Linked DNA regions of Arabidopsis thaliana. The protein of the gene in region 2 binds, or shares a complex with, the protein of the main gene of each other region. Each region holds a gene or a part of one and is shown on either strand. Other genes may lie near its edges. The genes, in order: FIE, VIN3 and VRN2.

Region 1 (6,154 bases), on a different chromosome or scaffold from region 2:
TTTTATCAGAAACTTTTTCGTTTTAAATCTACGGCTAGAATTTTCGGTCGGTTTTATACTTTATATAGATGCTAGATTTTTTTCTTCTAGTCATCGTTTATTAGTACAATTTTGTTTTTATATATTGATTACTTGAATTTATAATAGGATTGGTACAAAGGTGGTAATTATAAAGTGCATTTTTTTGGATATTGTTCAATTCAAATATTTTTACTTAGATTCTCAAACTATTGAAAAATATCCAAAATATCCGGAAAATTTCAATTTAATCGAATAAAAAAATTAGAATGGAAAGAATAAAAAATTATCGGGTACAATTAGAAGAGTAATGTGTTTAGTTTGGTTTTTACTCGGATACCAGTTCAGTTTTCACGTATTATTCGATCCTATAGGAGCAATTGTGAATTAGTTGTGAGATTTTGGGAGCATTCGCTTCCAGAACTTAGTGCTAGGAGAAATGCTATTTTCCTATAAGAGTTGTACGAGGAAGCGAGCAAGTACACAACAACCACAAAAGCTTTCAATACTTGTTTACTCCTAGGGTTTAAAACTAGAGGTTCTATAGATCTCTAAATTTTTTTGAACAAATGTGTTTTCCACACGTGATATTCTACAATACCACTCGAAAATTATCCATAATTGCTTTAAACTATTTTTTTGTTTAAATTATATAATTTGTACCGTTGTAAACTGATTATTTCAAATTATAATTAAAGCACTATAATTTCATATATTACATTCAACATATATTAAAATAAACTATAACCATGTATTTTTTTGTCTTCCTTTCCTATAAACATTGATTGGACTCTATCGTAAATTTTGTCGTTATCGCAAATTTTGTCGTTATCGATGAGTTTCTCAAAGTTTGGACCTTGATTATCTTGTTTGGAGATGTTCAAATCGTTATATCCAAATAGTGAACTTCTAATTTTCTTTTTTGATAATGTGACTTATTTGGAAAAGTATTCCAAAGTATTCAAATAAACCCTTTAAAAATCCATTAAATACATTTTAAATAAGTAAAATGCTCTCAACGAAGAGATATCATGGTAAATAACAACAGTGAGAGGATAAAATGTTAAATCAATTTATTTACAACTTCAAATAGGCGGACATCAAACCTACTTAGCACACTTTCTATTTTCAAATTGGTTATGGTTTGTCTATTAGTTGTTGCATCTATGTTTTTTAATTCTTATATCGGTGATCTTGATTTTGTTTTGGTGTATCTAAAATCTATTTTAGTTAAAGTGCAAGAAAATAAAATAAAAACTTAAGGTAAGAGATGAAAGTAAGCTTTAAATAAAACAGAGCACTTCTATGGTCGATTATAGAGCCAAGTTCGTTCCTCCATTTTGGCTTAATGCAATATTACAAGTAAATCTTATAAAACTTTCCATAAGTATCGTATTACCCATGGATACTATGATATATAAACTCTCGGAGGTGTAGTCCAGAAGAAATGATCCATATTTGCATACAGTAAACTTGATGGAAAAAATATGTGGTACTGTTGGAATTGTAGCTATTGAGTATCAAATTTGAGAAAAAGGTAAAAAAATATGTAAAATTTGGGTGGAAGAAAAGAATTACATAAAATTGAGAAATGTATGTAATTGACAAAATAATGTTTTCAAAACATAAAAACGTGATACCATTTAAATCCAAACCTTATATCATTTAACCATTTTTAGTAAAACTAATAGTAATGAATGGTCAATAATATAAGATTACATATTAAATAATTACTACTTTCAGAAAATTTCAATCAAATCTATAATATTCCTTTGAAAAAAAAGAAAGACAAATAGGTAAACTTCGATCGTATCAATCAAAGAATATATTTATTTTTCATCGTAACGTTTAATTCTAAGTCCTATTAAAAAACGTTAAATTTGATTTTTCTTACCATTTTTTTCTAAAAGGTGAGTTGTGTGTTGTGTCAGGTCCAAAATAAAAGTTTGTCGTGAGGTCAAAATCTACGGTTACAGTAATTTTAATAACCTGTGAATCTGTGTCTAATCGAAAATTACAAAACACCAGTTGTTGTTGCATGAGAGACTTGTGAGCTTAGATTAGTGTGCGAGAGTCAGACAGAGAGAGAGATTTCGAATATCGAATGTCGAAGATAACCTTAGGGAACGAGTCAATAGTTGGGTCTTTGACTCCATCGAATAAGAAATCGTACAAAGTGACGAATAGGATTCAGGAAGGGAAGAAACCTTTGTATGCTGTTGTTTTCAACTTCCTTGATGCTCGTTTCTTCGATGTCTTCGTTACCGCTGGTGGAAATCGGGTAAAAGATCTCGACTTTCAATTCGAAATCACTGTTTTCAATTCTGGGTCTGTTTAGGTTTTGATTCAGATTGATTGTAACATTAAGGCCTTTCCTTTTGTGTTTGATTTTGGATTCTGATTTCTAGCCTTTAGTGAGATTAAAAGATTGAAACTTTGCTTGATGCTATAGTCTAAGATTATGTAACATTTAGTTCAAACTTTCTGGTTTTGGAGATTTTGTGGAAGATATGGTTTTTGTTTTCTAATTTAAAGTGAACTCATTACCTTATACACTTGATTTGCATTCTGTTCTAAAAAAAATTGAAACTTTGGTTGATGTTGTTAGTCTGCTTATCTAAGGAGGTTCCTTTTGAAACGGTCATCAAGTGAGTTATGAAGCGTTTAGTTTAAGCTTTCCTGTATTGGAGATTTTGTGGAAGTTATTTTTTTTTCTAATTTTGAAACTAGATAGAGTGAAGTCATTACCTTATACATTAGACTGCTCTATTTTGTTTTCAATGTGGGTTCCGAATGTACCTGATAGTGGCTCTTTAGGCTCATTTGTATTCGTCGAAACATCGATCGGATACCCGTTTGGGCTTAGTAGGCTCTGATACCGCGTAAAGTTCTCGGGTTCCATGAAAAACCAATCGGTAATGAGTGGAGTTAATTTGTAATCGTCTTCGGTCGAGCATTTGGGATTAGTGGGCTTTGATACCATGTGAAAGTCCTTGGGGTCCAATCGGCAATGAGTAGAGTTAACTTGTAATCTTACACACTTGGTTAGGTCTCATTCTCTTTATAATGTTGTGTGCCTAACAGTTTCCGCACTAAGGTTGTTTGGTTGCTCAGTCTCAATATACTTATCTTAACTAGTTGTAGTTTTTTTCATCTTTCCTAGTTTCCGTTGGATTTTAAATTGAATGATTTACTAGTTAGAAATATTTGAGTTTCTCATAGAAGCTTTAACCAAGGGGTTCTTTCATTTAACCTTTACTTAGCTAGTTCATGAATCTCATTACTGCCATTGGTGTATCTCTTATTATGTAGATTACTCTGTACAATTGTCTCGGAGATGGTGCCATATCAGCATTGCAATCCTATGCTGATGAAGATGTAAGGAAGCATACATATTAGCTTTTCCATCAAATTAAAGTAAGTGATGTTTCACTGAGGCCATTTGGTTATATTTTGTCTATGTCCTCTGGAGAGCAGAAGGAAGAGTCGTTTTACACGGTAAGTTGGGCGTGTGGCGTTAATGGGAACCCATATGTTGCGGCTGGAGGAGTAAAAGGTATAATCCGAGTCATTGACGTCAACAGTGAAACGATTCATAAGGTATTATTGCATTTTTATGGATGTTCTATGTATCCTAGCAAATGATTCTATATCTTTCTTGTATAATCTGTGCTCGCAAATGTGCAGAGTCTTGTGGGTCATGGAGATTCAGTGAACGAAATCAGGACACAACCTTTAAAACCTCAACTTGTGATTACTGCTAGCAAGGTATATCTCTTGGCTTTCTTTTCTTCCTAAAGTATCCTGACTTCTTTTTTATTTGTTGGTGATTAAGAGCTGTTACGTTTTAATTGAATAAGGATGAATCTGTTCGTTTGTGGAATGTTGAAACTGGGATATGTATTTTGATATTTGCTGGAGCTGGAGGTCATCGCTATGAAGTTCTAAGTGTGGTGAGCCAATATTGTTTTATCTAATTCAGTTAGTTTTCTACAATAATATATAGAGACAATGTTAAGGGGAACCATCTTATTTTGAAAATTGTAGGATTTTCATCCGTCTGATATTTACCGCTTTGCTAGTTGTGGTATGGACACCACTATTAAAATATGGTCAATGAAAGGTACGATCGAGCACATATTGTAATAAACTTCCATTTTAAAAAACCTTTTGAGAAAAATGGCTTGTGGTTCGTTTGTATGATCTTCTTATTCTTTGGCTGTCTATAGAGTTTTGGACGTACGTCGAGAAGTCATTCACATGGACTGATGATCCATCAAAATTCCCCACAAAATTTGTCCAATTCCCTGTAAGTATTTTGTTTTAGCCTTGTCTTGTAACAACAAGTGACATACAAATATTGGTGATGGCCTTTGTAAATAACATTACTTCTATATGTAGGTATTTACAGCTTCCATTCATACAAATTATGTAGATTGTAACCGTTGGTTTGGTGATTTTATCCTCTCAAAGGTTAGTAAGTCAATGATGGTTAAGATTAATTCATTTGGTGTACTGTTAAAACACTTTACTCTTGTGTTGTTCTATCGGATTTTAGAGTGTGGACAACGAGATCCTGTTGTGGGAACCACAACTGAAAGAGAATTCTCCTGGCGAGGTTAGGATCTCATTGTTGCTCCAAACACAACATAATCATTCATTTCATCACATATATTTACAGTTGAACTTTTTGTGGTTTGCAGGGAGCTTCAGATGTTCTATTAAGATACCCGGTTCCAATGTGTGATATTTGGTTTATCAAGTTTTCTTGTGACCTCCATTTAAGTTCTGTTGCGATAGGTAATCAGAGAGCTCGTTAGATACAAATTTGCATTCTATAGATAGATTACTTCAACTTTTCTTATTCATTTTGTGACAAATTACTCGCTGGTTTGTTATCAGGTAATCAGGAAGGAAAGGTTTATGTCTGGGATTTGAAAAGTTGCCCTCCTGTTTTGATTACAAAGTAAGTTAGTTTCGGATTCAGATACAATGTTTGATCTTTAAGAAATGTTTTAGTCTTGACATGATTTTCTGTTGCCATATAGGTTATCACACAATCAATCAAAGTCTGTAATCAGGCAAACAGCCATGTCTGTCGATGGAAGGTATAAATCCATCTTCTCTCTCACCAATGCAGTGAAAATTTCTTAATGTTATTTATGACTCAATAGTTACTGTAAATCAAACCAAACTTTGGATTCTGACACACTGTTTCTTCCATGGGATTGTAGCACGATTCTTGCTTGCTGCGAGGACGGGACTATATGGCGCTGGGACGTGATTACCAAGTAGCGGTCTGAGTCTTGTAGGAATTGATGAATTAGGAGTGCGAAGAAATGAGATATCCATTCTTTTATTGTAATTCTGATCATGTTGCTACTCCCTGAGACCTTGAGATGCTCTTTGTAGCCTTGTTAACGTCCACCCTTGTACCACAGTGTATACCCTTTCTGGAGATTTTGTCTTATTCTCTTAGTTCAATACACAAGGCTGTATCCTGGAGCTTTATTGCAGGAACCACTCTCTTTCATAAGCTTTCTAGTATTCAAAGCATTGTCCCATGCTCCATTAGCTGCATACACACTGGCCAAATTGATGTAATTGACTGGTTTCCTCGGTTCCATACTCAGAAGCTGCGTGGCTGCTACTTTACTGAGCTGCACATTCCCATGGCGCCTGCATGCATCAAGAAAAGCTCCCCATGTTGATGAGCTAAGACTTACAATACCCTCTTTACTTCTTATCAGTGCATAAGCTTCTTCCAAGTAGCCACTGCGCGCAAGCATATCTATGATGCAAGATAAGTGCTCTTCTCGAGCTTCGATTCCGTGCTTGTTGATCATTGTGTCGTAAATCTTCCAGCCTAGTTCGGTTTGTCCTGTATGACTACAAGCAGAGAGGAGAGAAAGAAATGTAACGTCATTCGGTTTGATCCTTTCATGCTCCATTCTGTTATAAAGATCAATTGCTTTCTCAAAATTCCCATGTCTTCCATATCCTGCAATCAAAGAGGTCCATGATCTCACATCTTTCTCTTTCATCTCTTCGAAAGCCAGGACTGCATCCTCGATTTCCCCAGACTTTGCATACATATCTATCAGCGAATTCCCCAAAGCAACATCGAATCTGATTT
Region 2 (5,514 bases):
CTGCATGAAGAACTATTTTAGTTAATCCAGAGGAAATGGAACCAGTCTTGTGTTTTTTAGTTTTCTTGCCTTGGCACATTTGAATCTGCATCTTACAAGATCAAGTTGTGCGAGTTACTGCGTAAAACCGATCATTCCACCTATGTGCTGGTATTTACCAATAGGTCTCAACTCTCAACAGCTGAATTTAGAATTTACTTGCCCTTGGATCATTTACTCTGATGAGATTAAGCAGTTTCGGTTTTTCTGATTATTAACTAGAATCTTTCGTGTCTCTGCATCCAGTTTTTGTTTTCGCATTGATCGATTTCTGCTCACCAACCTTTGAATATATCTTGCAGGTCCCTCTAACGCTGTCTTGAACACTAGTCAAAAAGATGAGGGCTAGAGCTGCATTTCCCAGATAGTAGTTACTAGTTACTCCAATTCTTCCCCAGACTCTGTTCTGATGTCTTATAGAGAACAAACTTGTACTCTCTGAATTTGGTTGGAAACAACTCGTGAGTTATTTCTTTTTCGAGATTTAAAAATGTTAATGTTTGTGTGTAATCTCCCGGCTCTAACTGTCAGACTATGGTTCATTTGAAATCAGGCTTATTCATTTTTGAGTTTTTCACTAAGCATCAGAAAGAAATTGGAAATGCGTACTTACATAATTTCATTCCAAAATTATCGTTATGGTTTACAATATCAAGCGAGTTAATAAATAGACCGATTTCAAAAGCTTTTAATGCCAAAGCTTGAGGCAGATCCCAGCAGGTACTACACCATTTGTCGATGATCTCTTACTCAGTATACTTTCTGAGAATGTATCCACAAGCTGTTGTCCCAAAGAAGACAGATCCTCCATAAACGTCTCAACAAAGATCTTCACAACTCTTACTTCTCGGTGAGTAGCTCTTAAGCTATACCATGTCAAGAACCTTTCCCTAAAACTCTTGTCTATATGTCCTTCTTCCTCTAAACATCTAATCGTCTTAACAATATGACCCAAGTCTTTATCTCCTACTCCATTTGCGGCATTATTGATCTCAGGTTTCTCGTTCAAGGATACTGTTCTTGATTTGAATCTTTTATTCCCTCCTTGCTTTCCTTTATAAATATCTCTCTTGCAGGGTGTTACAAGCAAGTCTCTTCCATCTATCTTGTTTGCTTTCCTCTTTACAAGCCTCTCTTCTTCAAGCTCAGATTCTACTTCTCCTGCACTACAGTGTTCAGTGTTGTCCTTGTCACCATTTCCTTTGCTGCAGCTTTTATTGACATTATTAGATTCATCTTCTGGTAAAGATGGATTACTACAAAGACCACTGCTTGAGTTTGTCAAAGGGCTTTGCTGGTCCCCAGCTTCATCTCCATCATCCTTCAACGTTGTGAACCGAAGCTCAGACTCATCTAAGTCACCTTCCTCGTTAAAGGAAACCACTCTGAGACAGAACTCGGTGTCGGGTTCAAGTCCTTGGATGGCAGACGTCGTCTCAGGTAGATAAACAACACAATTCCCCTGAGACGAGCATTCTTCGTCCTTCGACTTTCGACAAAACAACCTGAAACCTGTGATCTTGTTTTGTGTAGAAGAAGACGGCTCCTCGGAGTCTACTCTCACAGTGACTGATCTTGCTTGAATCTCTTCTACTCTCACGGTCATCTTGTCACCTAACAGGAACTAAAGTCAACATCTTCGGTTTTAAAACCAAAGTAATGTATGAACACACTAACCTTGTCCTGAAACAGATTCTGATGGTGAGACCACTTTGTCCAGAGCTTCCATTGCCTGAGAACACAGCTTCTGGACATGCACACCCGAAGAAAGTCTATTGACGATGCCTCGAGCCATCTTCATGGCCCAACCCGACAACGGACCCACATCACCTTCGAGCTTCTTCACCGCCTCATCCATAAGTTCCAACAGATTCCGATACTTCGTGGTACCTCTCAACAGCTTCTGTCCTAAAGAAAGACGATAACAAAGTACATCCACACGCCGCGTCTCTTTCGCCACCTTCACTTGTTTTCTCCAGCATCTGTAAGCACTCGCATACACACACATTACATTACATTCTCTTTTCATTGTAGTATATCCATAGATTTCAATATCTAAAGATCCTTACCCGAGCAAGTCATTATCTTTACCGCAATACGCGCAATAAAACCTACCATCAAGATCATCACTCCCAATCCCATACCTATCTTGCTTCAAACCACATTCCAAATGACAAGACGATCCACAAGCATCACAAGTAAGCCATAAACTAGGATCCTTATTATCATCAAACTTTTGACAGATGCAGCAAGAACACCTTCTGCAAAACGTATCATCGCATCCAAGCGCAGCTCTACAAGCTAAATTCTCACAGCAAATGATGTAACCGATCATCTTCTTCTCCTTCTTCCTCGAGTTTCTACGGTCAGAACAAGAGGTCTCTCCAAGAGGACGAGACACAAGATTCAGAAGATTCTCTATGAGCTTTGGTTTGTTAAGACCAGTGTACTTCCTTTCTTTACCCATCTCAGCACATATGATCTTCATGATCTCATTTCTGCTCCATGAATTCAAAAGCTCCGAAGCTTCTTCAGGCTGGTTAGACAATGCGTGGATCAATTCTCTCCTTTCACTTACATTCAAAACGTTTGGTTTACAAGTCTCAATGCATTCATTATCTGCACCATAAAAGACCAATCCTTTAGCCCTAGATTCTCCTCAAGATAAAAAGGAGAGGATCACAGATTCTGACTCTTTTTGGGGTAAAAATGATCAAAAGTATAAAACTTTGAATGAATCTCAACAACCCAGAAACGAAATATCAACAATGACGACGAATCCAATGCGAGAAATAAAACGTTTGTTGATATTGTGTAAAAACGTCGTCGTGTTAACGACCTAAAACGCATGAAACTAGGAACAGTGAGAGAGACGTTCACGTCGAGAAAATATCGTACCTTCAAACGAAGAAGAATCCATGTTCTCTGGACCCACATTACCATCGAAACGCCAGATCTTTGAGAGCTGCCGAGATCCGATTTCACACAAAAGGTTCAATTATGTCAAAGTTAAAGCAAGAACCAAAAAAAATAAACCATCACAACAATCTGACAATAACACTTAAGTACAGACAAAAAAAAAATTCTCAAAGATGTAACACTTACGATGATGAAGAACACAAGATCGAAAAAAAAATTCAGATTTTATCGATTTTCATTTTGAAGTTATAATCTTTAAACAACCAAAGAGAAACCCATGAAATACACTTTGTAAGAACCTATATTTGTAACTATTAGACAAAAGATTCGAGGATGACTCAGTCTTAAGAACAAACCATTGAGAATTTTCTTTAATTAAAATAAACAAATACTCAGAGAGTAAATATATATGCAAAATTAGAATTGGTTGTTGTTCACCGAATGAGAAGCCTTCAAAAAAAAACAGCATACAAAGAATATTTATATAAAAAAAAAACGCTGTTTACCGAAGCAGCTTGCATTTTTTTTTTGTTTGTCGTTCTTCGTGTTCTTCGTTTTTTTTCTCTTGATTTTTTTTTTTGCTAGGTTTATTTTAGAGATCTTTTATGGGGATTTAGTGAAAAAGGAAAAGATGTTTCTGTGATGGATGGTTCTTCTCTCTCTCTCTCTCCTTTTGTTTTTTCTAGATGTTTCTAAGGAGGAAACCCTCTGATGGATGAAACTTCTGCTCTGATGAGAGCTTTTTTTTTTAAAGTTCTTTAGAATTTTGGTTTTGTGTATTTTTTAATATTAAAAAAAACGTTGGAAATATCTTCACGTGCTTTGGAAGATATTATATACGCAAATGCTTTGATTTGACCTGTAACCAATGCTGGACTTATTGTATATACCTTTTCTAGGATGTCGCTTATGACTCACTACTATATGTTCGAAATATTACGATATGTAAAATCATTTTTATTTACTATCATAAATTTTATAAATCTTTTTATTGAATTTAATAGTTTGTTTATATACAAGTTTTTTTTTTTTTTTTTTGAAAATATTATTTTTTCTTTTATAAGAAGAGGGGAGAAGAGATTATGATAATGTTGATATGGTGTATGAACTATCGTGTACAAACTTCGAGTAAGTCTTAAACAACAAAGTTATTAGTTTATAATTTCAGAATTCTGAGTTTAGATTTTGTGACAAGGGTTTTTAGTTTTTGTGAAGTTTACAAAATGCAGATCTCTTAAAAACTTTCACATATTTTTGTTTTGCATCATCTACGTTAATTTGTGATGATTAGTAGTATTTTATTAACAAAGTTAAACATCTAGTATTAGTTCAAATTTTCAAAATCCACAAAACGTTAACAATAAAAGAAGGTTAATATTCTATATATAGATTATCATATGAAAATGAGAAGTTCCGTTAGATTAAATTATGTTTTCTAAACCAACTGATGTAAAAGATTTTCTTAAATAACTGATTACTTTAGTTCATCTTTTTTTGTTTTTTGGACATCTTTAAATCGAGTAGACTCGATCTATAGTCAATGGATTTTTTAGGTGAAAGTTTACTAGAGGGGATAACGCTTAATGGATTCAAATTTGGGTGGAGAAAACGGAGTCAAGTAAACTTAATTCATCTTTAAAATTTAGTTCATCTACAAATACTTTAATAGTACAGTTTAGTAATACAACTTGTACTAGACAAGTACTAATATAGCCATTAACAATTTTAGTTTGCCCATGAAGACGGTCGGTCCAGATACCAAAAAAAGCGATTTGCCAAAAGTTTTTTTTTTGAATTAGCATCCCATGTAAAGAATTTCTTCGACTAATTCTTTTGGGACGAGTGACTTTTTGCCAAAAGAAAATTAAGAATCCACATTCGATTAAAAATTATGTTAGAATTCATGAACGAGTGATTATGACAAAGATACATGCAATAATTGTAACTTAATTTTGTAATAGAATTCCATAAACATTCACATGATATATCTTAACCCAAGTTATTTCAGGTTAGTAAGTTGTATTGTGGATCAAAAGAGGATTTGACTAAAATGTGCAAAATGAGCATTATCATGTAAAGAGACGGGACAGGGTGAGAAGGGGTGGTGGAGGTAGGGCTAAACCAGTTAAAAGTCCGCATATTTTTAGTTTTGACATGTTCGATCTAAGTTTTTCCAACTGAATAATTAGAGTGTTTGGAGTTAGGGTTTAGATCATAATTTATTGTTTAGATATAAAAACAAAAAATCATCAAATGAGGAAGAAGAACAATGCTATTACATGGTAAAAACGTAAAAATCCATATGAAGTTTGTAACATATATAACATATTCAATGAAAGGTTCTAATATTGTATCGTTGGCCTTCGTGGTATAAGAAACAAATAAACTGCGCTAGAGCAAATAAGTTAGAGAAAGTTCACTTGCAGTGGCATTTGAAAACAATTGGAAGAGAGAAATGTGCTAACACTTGGACATGAAGAGAACATGAACGAAAAGGAAATCATGAAAAAGGTTAAATGTTAGTTACTAAACATTATGGATGCAATTATGGTTTTT
Region 3 (6,202 bases), on a different chromosome or scaffold from region 2:
AATTTGCAGCTGAGAAACTGCTTCAGCTAAACTCGCAAAATGCAGCCGGGTATGTGCAGCTTGCGAATATCTACGCATCGAAGAATCGTTGGGAAGACGTTGCAAGGGTTCGCAAGAGAATGAAAGAGAGCAATGTTGTGAAGGTAGAGCGAGTCAAAGTTCGATTCTTTATTCGAGTTACAAGACTCTAATGTATTTACTTGACTGTTTCAGGTACCTGGATACAGTTGGATCGAAATACGAAACAAAGTTCACCATTTCAGATCAAGTGATCGGATTCACCCTGAACTAGACTCAATACACAAGAAACTGAAGGAGTTGGAGAAGAAGATGAAACTAGCTGGATACAAACCGGAACTAGAGTTTGCTTTACACAATGTAGAGGAAGAGCAAAAAGAGAAGCTATTGTTATGGCACAGCGAGAAGTTAGCTGTTGCATTTGGTTGCATAAAACTCCCTCAAGGTTCACAGATACAAGTGTTCAAGAACTTGAGAATCTGTGGTGATTGTCATAAAGCAATCAAATTTATCTCGGAGATAGAGAAACGAGAGATCATTGTAAGAGACACCACAAGGTTTCACCATTTCAAAGATGGGTCTTGCTCTTGTGGCGATTACTGGTGAAAAGAGAAGAGCTTTGACTCTCTCATTGGTCAAACCTGACTGTATTTATATGCGTTATTGTGTGGTAAAGTTTCGACCTTTGACTTGACAAGTTGCCGTTAAGAAGAGAGATGCGTAGATCAGCGAGTGGTTCTAGAGTTTTGGATCATTTTCCGGCGACTTCAAGGTCTCCGCCTCGATCTCAGAGTGTTACAGCAATGGAAGATGATGTGGAGCTGCTTTTGCCTAGGTACGATCCGAATTCTCAAGCGGGGAAGAGAGAGAAATCAAGATTCAGATTTTCAGAAAACGTCATCCATTTGATTCCTCTCATTCTTCTTCTCTGTGTCGCAATCCTCTGGCTCTCCTCTTACTCAGGTAAGCCGAGAAATTGTTTCAATCTCTATGAATCCATAATTGATCTGTGAAACTTAATTAGGGATTTTACAAAGACTCATATGGATATGAGGATCGAGATGTCTCTGCAACGTTAGAATCTTGTGTTGAATTATGGTTTCAATTTGTTCATATAATACTAAATCGGTGATGGATTTGGAATTTGTCAGCAGCGTTAAGGAGTTGAGTTCCAAAAGCAACATGTTGTCTTGTCTCCATGGGAACTCATATTCAGTTTTGGGAAAGGAAACAATTCTTTTACCGCCGGTGATTTTGTGCCGCAAACCATTCGTATTTGTAATTTTTGGTTCTGTAGACACACAAAAGGATCTCTCGTTTTCATGAAATGTATGTTTAATATTTCAGTGATATACATCACACAACTCAAGTAGAAAACACTGATGGTTATCCATTAATCATTCTATTGGTCGAAAAAAAGATTAGTTTCAACTTAATGCCACCTTAGGATTATATGTTCCTGTGAGTTTCAGCTAGCCAACTCAACTAGAGTTAAACAATGGAATCAAAATACATATTCAGTAATTTATTTTAAACTCTGACTATTTATGTAAAACACAAATGGAAATCAAAATTGAAGGTCATGAAGATTCTATTCTTAGTGTGAAAAGTATAGATCAATGATTCTTAATTTCTTCATCCTCCACGCATAGATCAATGGTGAATATGGTTTTAAATCCTCTAATACTCACTGTACTGCCATGGTAGAGTTAAAAAAACAATTTTAGAAATATTAGTGGATTAAGGCATTAAGCTGTCCAAGTTGCTTGTATTTTCTTTTCATTTTATTAATTAAAAAAAAAGTTCAACTATTTATTGACTAATAATAATACGTGTTAAATGGTTATCGGTTTAAAATATGGGCCATAGGCCCAGACTTGAAGAAAAACTTGAAACCCAAAGTTTTATTTTTACTTGTTTTCTTTCTCAGTGAATATCTCCCAATCAAGCTTCTTCAATTTTGCTTGCTCTCTCTCTTACACGGCCAATCGGTGTTTTCGCAGCTTTCAGGTTTGTCTCAATCTCAAATTAAATCGGAGTCAAGTAATAACAATTGATAACCCTAATTGTTTCAATTATATTGTAAGATTTGAAATTTTGCAGTAGATCCGGAATCGTATTCTAGTTCTGGAATCGTTGATCTCGATGGAATTTTTTTTAAGATTTCTTCATACACATTTGGTTCAAAAGATCACATAATTTTATTTTAATTTGATAAGTATGATGATTCTGCTAAGTGGCATTGGATAAAGTTTTCATTTTTGCAATACGTCTAAACTTGTCTATGTCTTGAATGAACTCTCTGAGTTGCTTAAAAAGTCTTGTGCTTTCTTTATTACACAGGCCTCAATACAAGACATTCTATATAAGCATATTGCAGAAGAGGCGGTTCTAATTGTTGCATGGAGTTGAACAATATGACGTAGGGAAATTCTAATTTAGGGGAGGCCTCAGAGTTTGCACTAACTTCATAATCAGCTCTGGACGTTGTTGATTGTATTTGAACAAGAATGTGTAGGCAGAATTGTCGCGCGAAATCCTCACCGGAGGAAGTGATTTCAACTGATGAGAATCTCTTGATATATTGTAAACCTGTTCGACTATATAACATCTTTCACCTTCGCTCTCTAGGCAACGTATGATTTGGCCTTCCTCTCTCATCATTTTAGCTTAGTAATCTTTCATCTCCTGTGTAGATCACCCACTAATAGTTTGAGTTTGCTAAGCTGATTATGGTCTGACTCATGGCGAGTGTGTGCTTCTTTTGTCTCCTAATGTTATTTGAACTTGTTGTTTGTTGTTGCAGCCATCGTTTCTGCCAAGATGCTTGAACTACAAAATTGGGGCAAAGCGCAAAAGAAAGTATGCGTTTCTTCTTGAATGTAGTTGCCACAGTGATATGTTATTTATCTTACTTCTAATATGGAAGCTGATGAACTATTTATCTTTGTTGAGTAGATATGGACATAATGAATGGTTTCTTCTTTGTTCATGCTATACACTTATATTTTACAAAATTGTGTTTTGCTTAGGTCAAGATCTACTGGGATGGTAGTTTTCAACTATAAGGATTGTAATAATACATTACAAAGAACTGAAGGTTAGTCTTTTTCTGTTCTTCGACAAAATTCGATGTCAATGTCTATGTTTCTCTAGATGATTTGTTATTTACTATTTTTTTCTGTATTGTCACGCAGTTAGGGAGGATTGTTCTTGTCCATTTTGCTCTATGCTATGTGGTAGCTTCAAGGTGGGCAACTATTACAACTGAGGTTTCTTCCGGGGCCTTTCATATCTAACACTGTGAAATGCTACTGCCGTTTAATGCTATATACTTTCACTGTTTGGTTACATATTTTTGTGTTTGTTGTTTGTCTTCTTGCTCTTTTTAAACTGCTGAGTGTGTGCTTATCTGAGAAAACATGTTCCAGTTCGAGCTTACAATCCATTGTCTTGTGTCTATGCAGGGGCTGCAATTTCATTTGAATTCATCTCATGATTTATTTGAATTTGAGTTCAAGGTATGTGGTTTTATGGAATTTCTTGTTTTGCCTATGCCGTTAGTAATGAGGTTATAGTTAAAAAAGGGTCTTTCCTATTGTAGCTTTTGGAAGAATACCAGACAGTTAATGTTTCTGTAAAACTTAATTCCTTCATATTTGAGGTCAGTTACTTTAAACTTGGTTAATTGGGAAATCCTATAGCTGGTGAAAATTTGGTTTATATTCCATCCTTATTTGTACTAGGAAGAAGGAAGTGATGATGATAAATTTGAGCCCTTCTCTCTCTGGTAACTCTCAGAACCCCTTGATTAAATACCTTAATAGCAGTAACTCCTTGCTTTTCTTGTCAGTACTTCTCTATAAATCCAACCACAATGTTTTGCAGCTCGAAACCTCGTAAGCGTAGACAAAGAGGTGGCAGAAATAACACCAGGAGACTTAAAGTATGCTTTTTACCGTTGGATTCACCCAGTTTAGCTAATGGCACAGAAAATGGAATTGCCCTGCTGAATGATGGTAAAATCACATCTTCTTCTGTGGTATTCGTTGTGGCTTAGAACTTCATTTTACAGAAGAAGATACAATGTCCTGATTGTTTAGTTTTTGTACTTCTCCTCGCATTCTTCTTGTGAGGGTAATGTTACCAGAACTGATGTACAAAATTAATGGCATGCTACAGGAAACCGTGGTTTAGGATATCCCGAGGCAACAGAGCTTGCTGGACAATTTGAGATGACTAGCAACATTCCACCAGCCATAGCCCACTCTTCTCTGGACGCTGGTGCTAAAGTTATATTAACAACCGAAGCTGTGGTCCCTGCTACTAAGACAAGAAAGTTATCTGCTGAGCGATCAGAGGCTAGAAGGTTTGTTCATCATGACACCCCGTCATCATAATTACCATACCTGTTGTTACAAATGTTCTTCCTATTATGGATAAGTGTTTACTGTACTGCCATATTAACCGAGAAAATTTCTTCCAGCCACCTACTTCTTCAGAAACGCCAATTCTATCATTCTCACAGAGTCCAGGTGATCCAAGTTCCTTCACCTACTTCTTAGGCATTTTCTTTAAATTGCTCATGATGATATCTTATCAAAGCATACTTGGTTTGTTCTCATCTAAATTTGTATTTTGATTCTGTATGTATCAACGCAAAAAAATTATGTCCATGTTGTCTCCGTTTTATTGCCACTAACCAAAAACTGCATGTTTCTTGTGACAAGCCAATGGCGCTTGAGCAAGTAATGTCTGATCGGGATAGCGAGGATGAAGTCGATGACGATGTTGCAGATTTTGAAGATCGCCAGGTATTCCATGATTTCTTTCTGCGTTCATTAAGTAGGCAACAGAAAATGGTATACGATGTAACTTGCTAATGGCTTTTGAAACTTAAAAAAGCTGCAGATGCTTGATGACTTTGTGGATGTGAATAAAGATGAAAAGCAATTCATGCATCTTTGGAACTCGTTTGTAAGAAAACAAAGGTAACTACTTCTCTTACACTTGAACACACACAAAAAGACCTTATGTCTTACATTCCATACCTGTCTAAATGATTCTGCTTATGGAACTTTGAGCTCAAATTATGATTGATGTTTGCAGGGTTATAGCAGATGGTCATATCTCTTGGGCATGTGAAGTATTTTCAAGATTTTACGAGAAAGAGTTGCACTGTTACTCATCACTCTTCTGGTAATATAAGTACACCAAACATATACAGACACATAACTACACTATCAATTTTGTTTCGTTTTTCTGAAAGAAAAATAAAAAATTCCAGGTGTTGGAGATTGTTTTTGATTAAACTATGGAACCATGGACTTGTCGACTCAGCCACCATCAACAACTGCAATACCATCCTCGAGAATTGCCGTAATACCTCAGTCACTAACAACAACAACAACAGTGTGGATCATCCCAGTGACTCAAACACCAACAACAATAACATTGTGGATCATCCGAATGACATAAAAAACAAGAACAATGTTGACAACAAGGACAATAACAGCAGAGACAAGTAATTAAATAGGAAACACTCCGGTTTAGATGATACCGATCTATCGGATTGTAACTTATTCTTCTTTCTTAAAAAAATTGTTTAGGAGCAAACAAAGATTTTATTTGTTAGTGTATTCAACTGATTACATTTTTAGTTAAAAAAATGGATTCTCCTTAATAACTAAAGACTGAAAAATAAGATAAGTTTCCTTAATTTTTCTTTTTGACTTGAGAAAAAGCTCCTCTAGACCTCTAGTAAATAGGAGTTATATATTAATCAAGTACATAACATAAAAATATATATATTAAGTGCAAATAGATTGAAAACAAATCAAGAAATTAATTAAGACACAGTGATTAAGCTTAAAACCCCATTTTGACTTGTTCTTTCTCAATGAATCCCTCACAAGCAGCAAGCTTCTTCGATTTTGCTTTGACACCACCAATCAGTGTTTTCGAATCTTTCAGGTTTGTCTCGATTTCAAACTAGATCGGAGTCAAGTGATAAAATTGACTAACATAATTATTCCCGTTCTCTCGTAAGAGTTGGGATTTAGCAGTAGATCGGAAATCGGAATTTACGTTTTTGTTAAAAGATTGATGGTTTAGGTAATAAAACATAGTTCTGGATTCATTGCTTCTAGTTGATTCTCGAATTGTTTGATTTCGCAATGCACAT

Evidence for each region.
Region 1: VIN3 (region 2) and FIE share a complex: the UniProt entries of both Arabidopsis thaliana proteins name them as parts of the plant homeodomain / polycomb repressive complex.
Region 3: VIN3 (region 2) and VRN2 share a complex: the UniProt entries of both Arabidopsis thaliana proteins name them as parts of the plant homeodomain / polycomb repressive complex.

Annotation. Positions count from the first base shown.
Region 1 is NC_003074.8:7,248,223-7,254,376, reverse strand, and holds FIE (Transducin/WD40 repeat-like superfamily protein), read left to right. Parts: upstream 1-1,924; 5' UTR 1,925-2,122; coding exon 2,123-2,299; intron 2,300-3,142; exon of another isoform or gene 3,143-3,330; coding exon 3,331-3,396; intron 3,397-3,495; coding exon 3,496-3,618; intron 3,619-3,705; coding exon 3,706-3,786; intron 3,787-3,878; coding exon 3,879-3,971; intron 3,972-4,065; coding exon 4,066-4,141; intron 4,142-4,247; coding exon 4,248-4,327; intron 4,328-4,419; coding exon 4,420-4,491; intron 4,492-4,576; coding exon 4,577-4,636; intron 4,637-4,721; coding exon 4,722-4,818; intron 4,819-4,920; coding exon 4,921-4,984; intron 4,985-5,066; coding exon 5,067-5,126; intron 5,127-5,252; coding exon 5,253-5,313; 3' UTR 5,314-5,498; downstream 5,499-6,154. Other genes in the region: AT3G20730 (PPR superfamily protein), read right to left, coding at 5,499-6,154. UniProt on the Arabidopsis thaliana protein: Polycomb group (PcG) protein. PcG proteins act by forming multiprotein complexes, which are required to maintain the transcriptionally repressive state of homeotic genes throughout development.
Region 2 is NC_003076.8:23,245,811-23,251,324, forward strand, and holds VIN3 (Fibronectin type III domain-containing protein), read right to left. Parts: upstream 3,695-5,514; 5' UTR 3,480-3,694; coding exon 3,465-3,479; intron 3,056-3,464; exon of another isoform or gene 3,005-3,055; coding exon 2,938-3,004; intron 2,659-2,937; coding exon 2,109-2,658; intron 2,022-2,108; coding exon 1,717-2,021; intron 1,654-1,716; coding exon 728-1,653; 3' UTR 585-727; downstream 1-584. UniProt on the Arabidopsis thaliana protein: Plays a central role in vernalization by mediating the initial transcriptional repression of the homeotic gene FLC, a floral repressor, after a cold treatment.
Region 3 is NC_003075.7:9,474,180-9,480,381, forward strand, and holds VRN2 (VEFS-Box of polycomb protein), read left to right. Parts: upstream 1-1,889; 5' UTR 1,890-2,028; intron 2,029-2,361; 5' UTR 2,362-2,528; coding exon 2,529-2,654; exon of another isoform or gene 2,655-2,824; coding exon 2,825-2,880; intron 2,881-3,050; coding exon 3,051-3,118; intron 3,119-3,215; coding exon 3,216-3,268; coding exon of another isoform or gene 3,269-3,290; intron 3,291-3,485; coding exon 3,486-3,539; intron 3,540-3,622; coding exon 3,623-3,682; intron 3,683-3,764; coding exon 3,765-3,808; intron 3,809-3,906; coding exon 3,907-4,037; intron 4,038-4,200; coding exon 4,201-4,387; intron 4,388-4,504; coding exon 4,505-4,553; intron 4,554-4,748; coding exon 4,749-4,832; intron 4,833-4,929; coding exon 4,930-5,009; intron 5,010-5,127; coding exon 5,128-5,217; intron 5,218-5,305; coding exon 5,306-5,546; 3' UTR 5,547-5,699; downstream 5,700-6,202. Other genes in the region: AT4G16835 (Tetratricopeptide repeat (TPR)-like superfamily protein), read left to right, coding at 1-143, 214-624; AT4G16840 (uncharacterized protein), read left to right, coding at 735-981, 1,170-1,186. UniProt on the Arabidopsis thaliana protein: Polycomb group (PcG) protein. Plays a central role in vernalization by maintaining repressed the homeotic gene FLC, a floral repressor, after a cold treatment.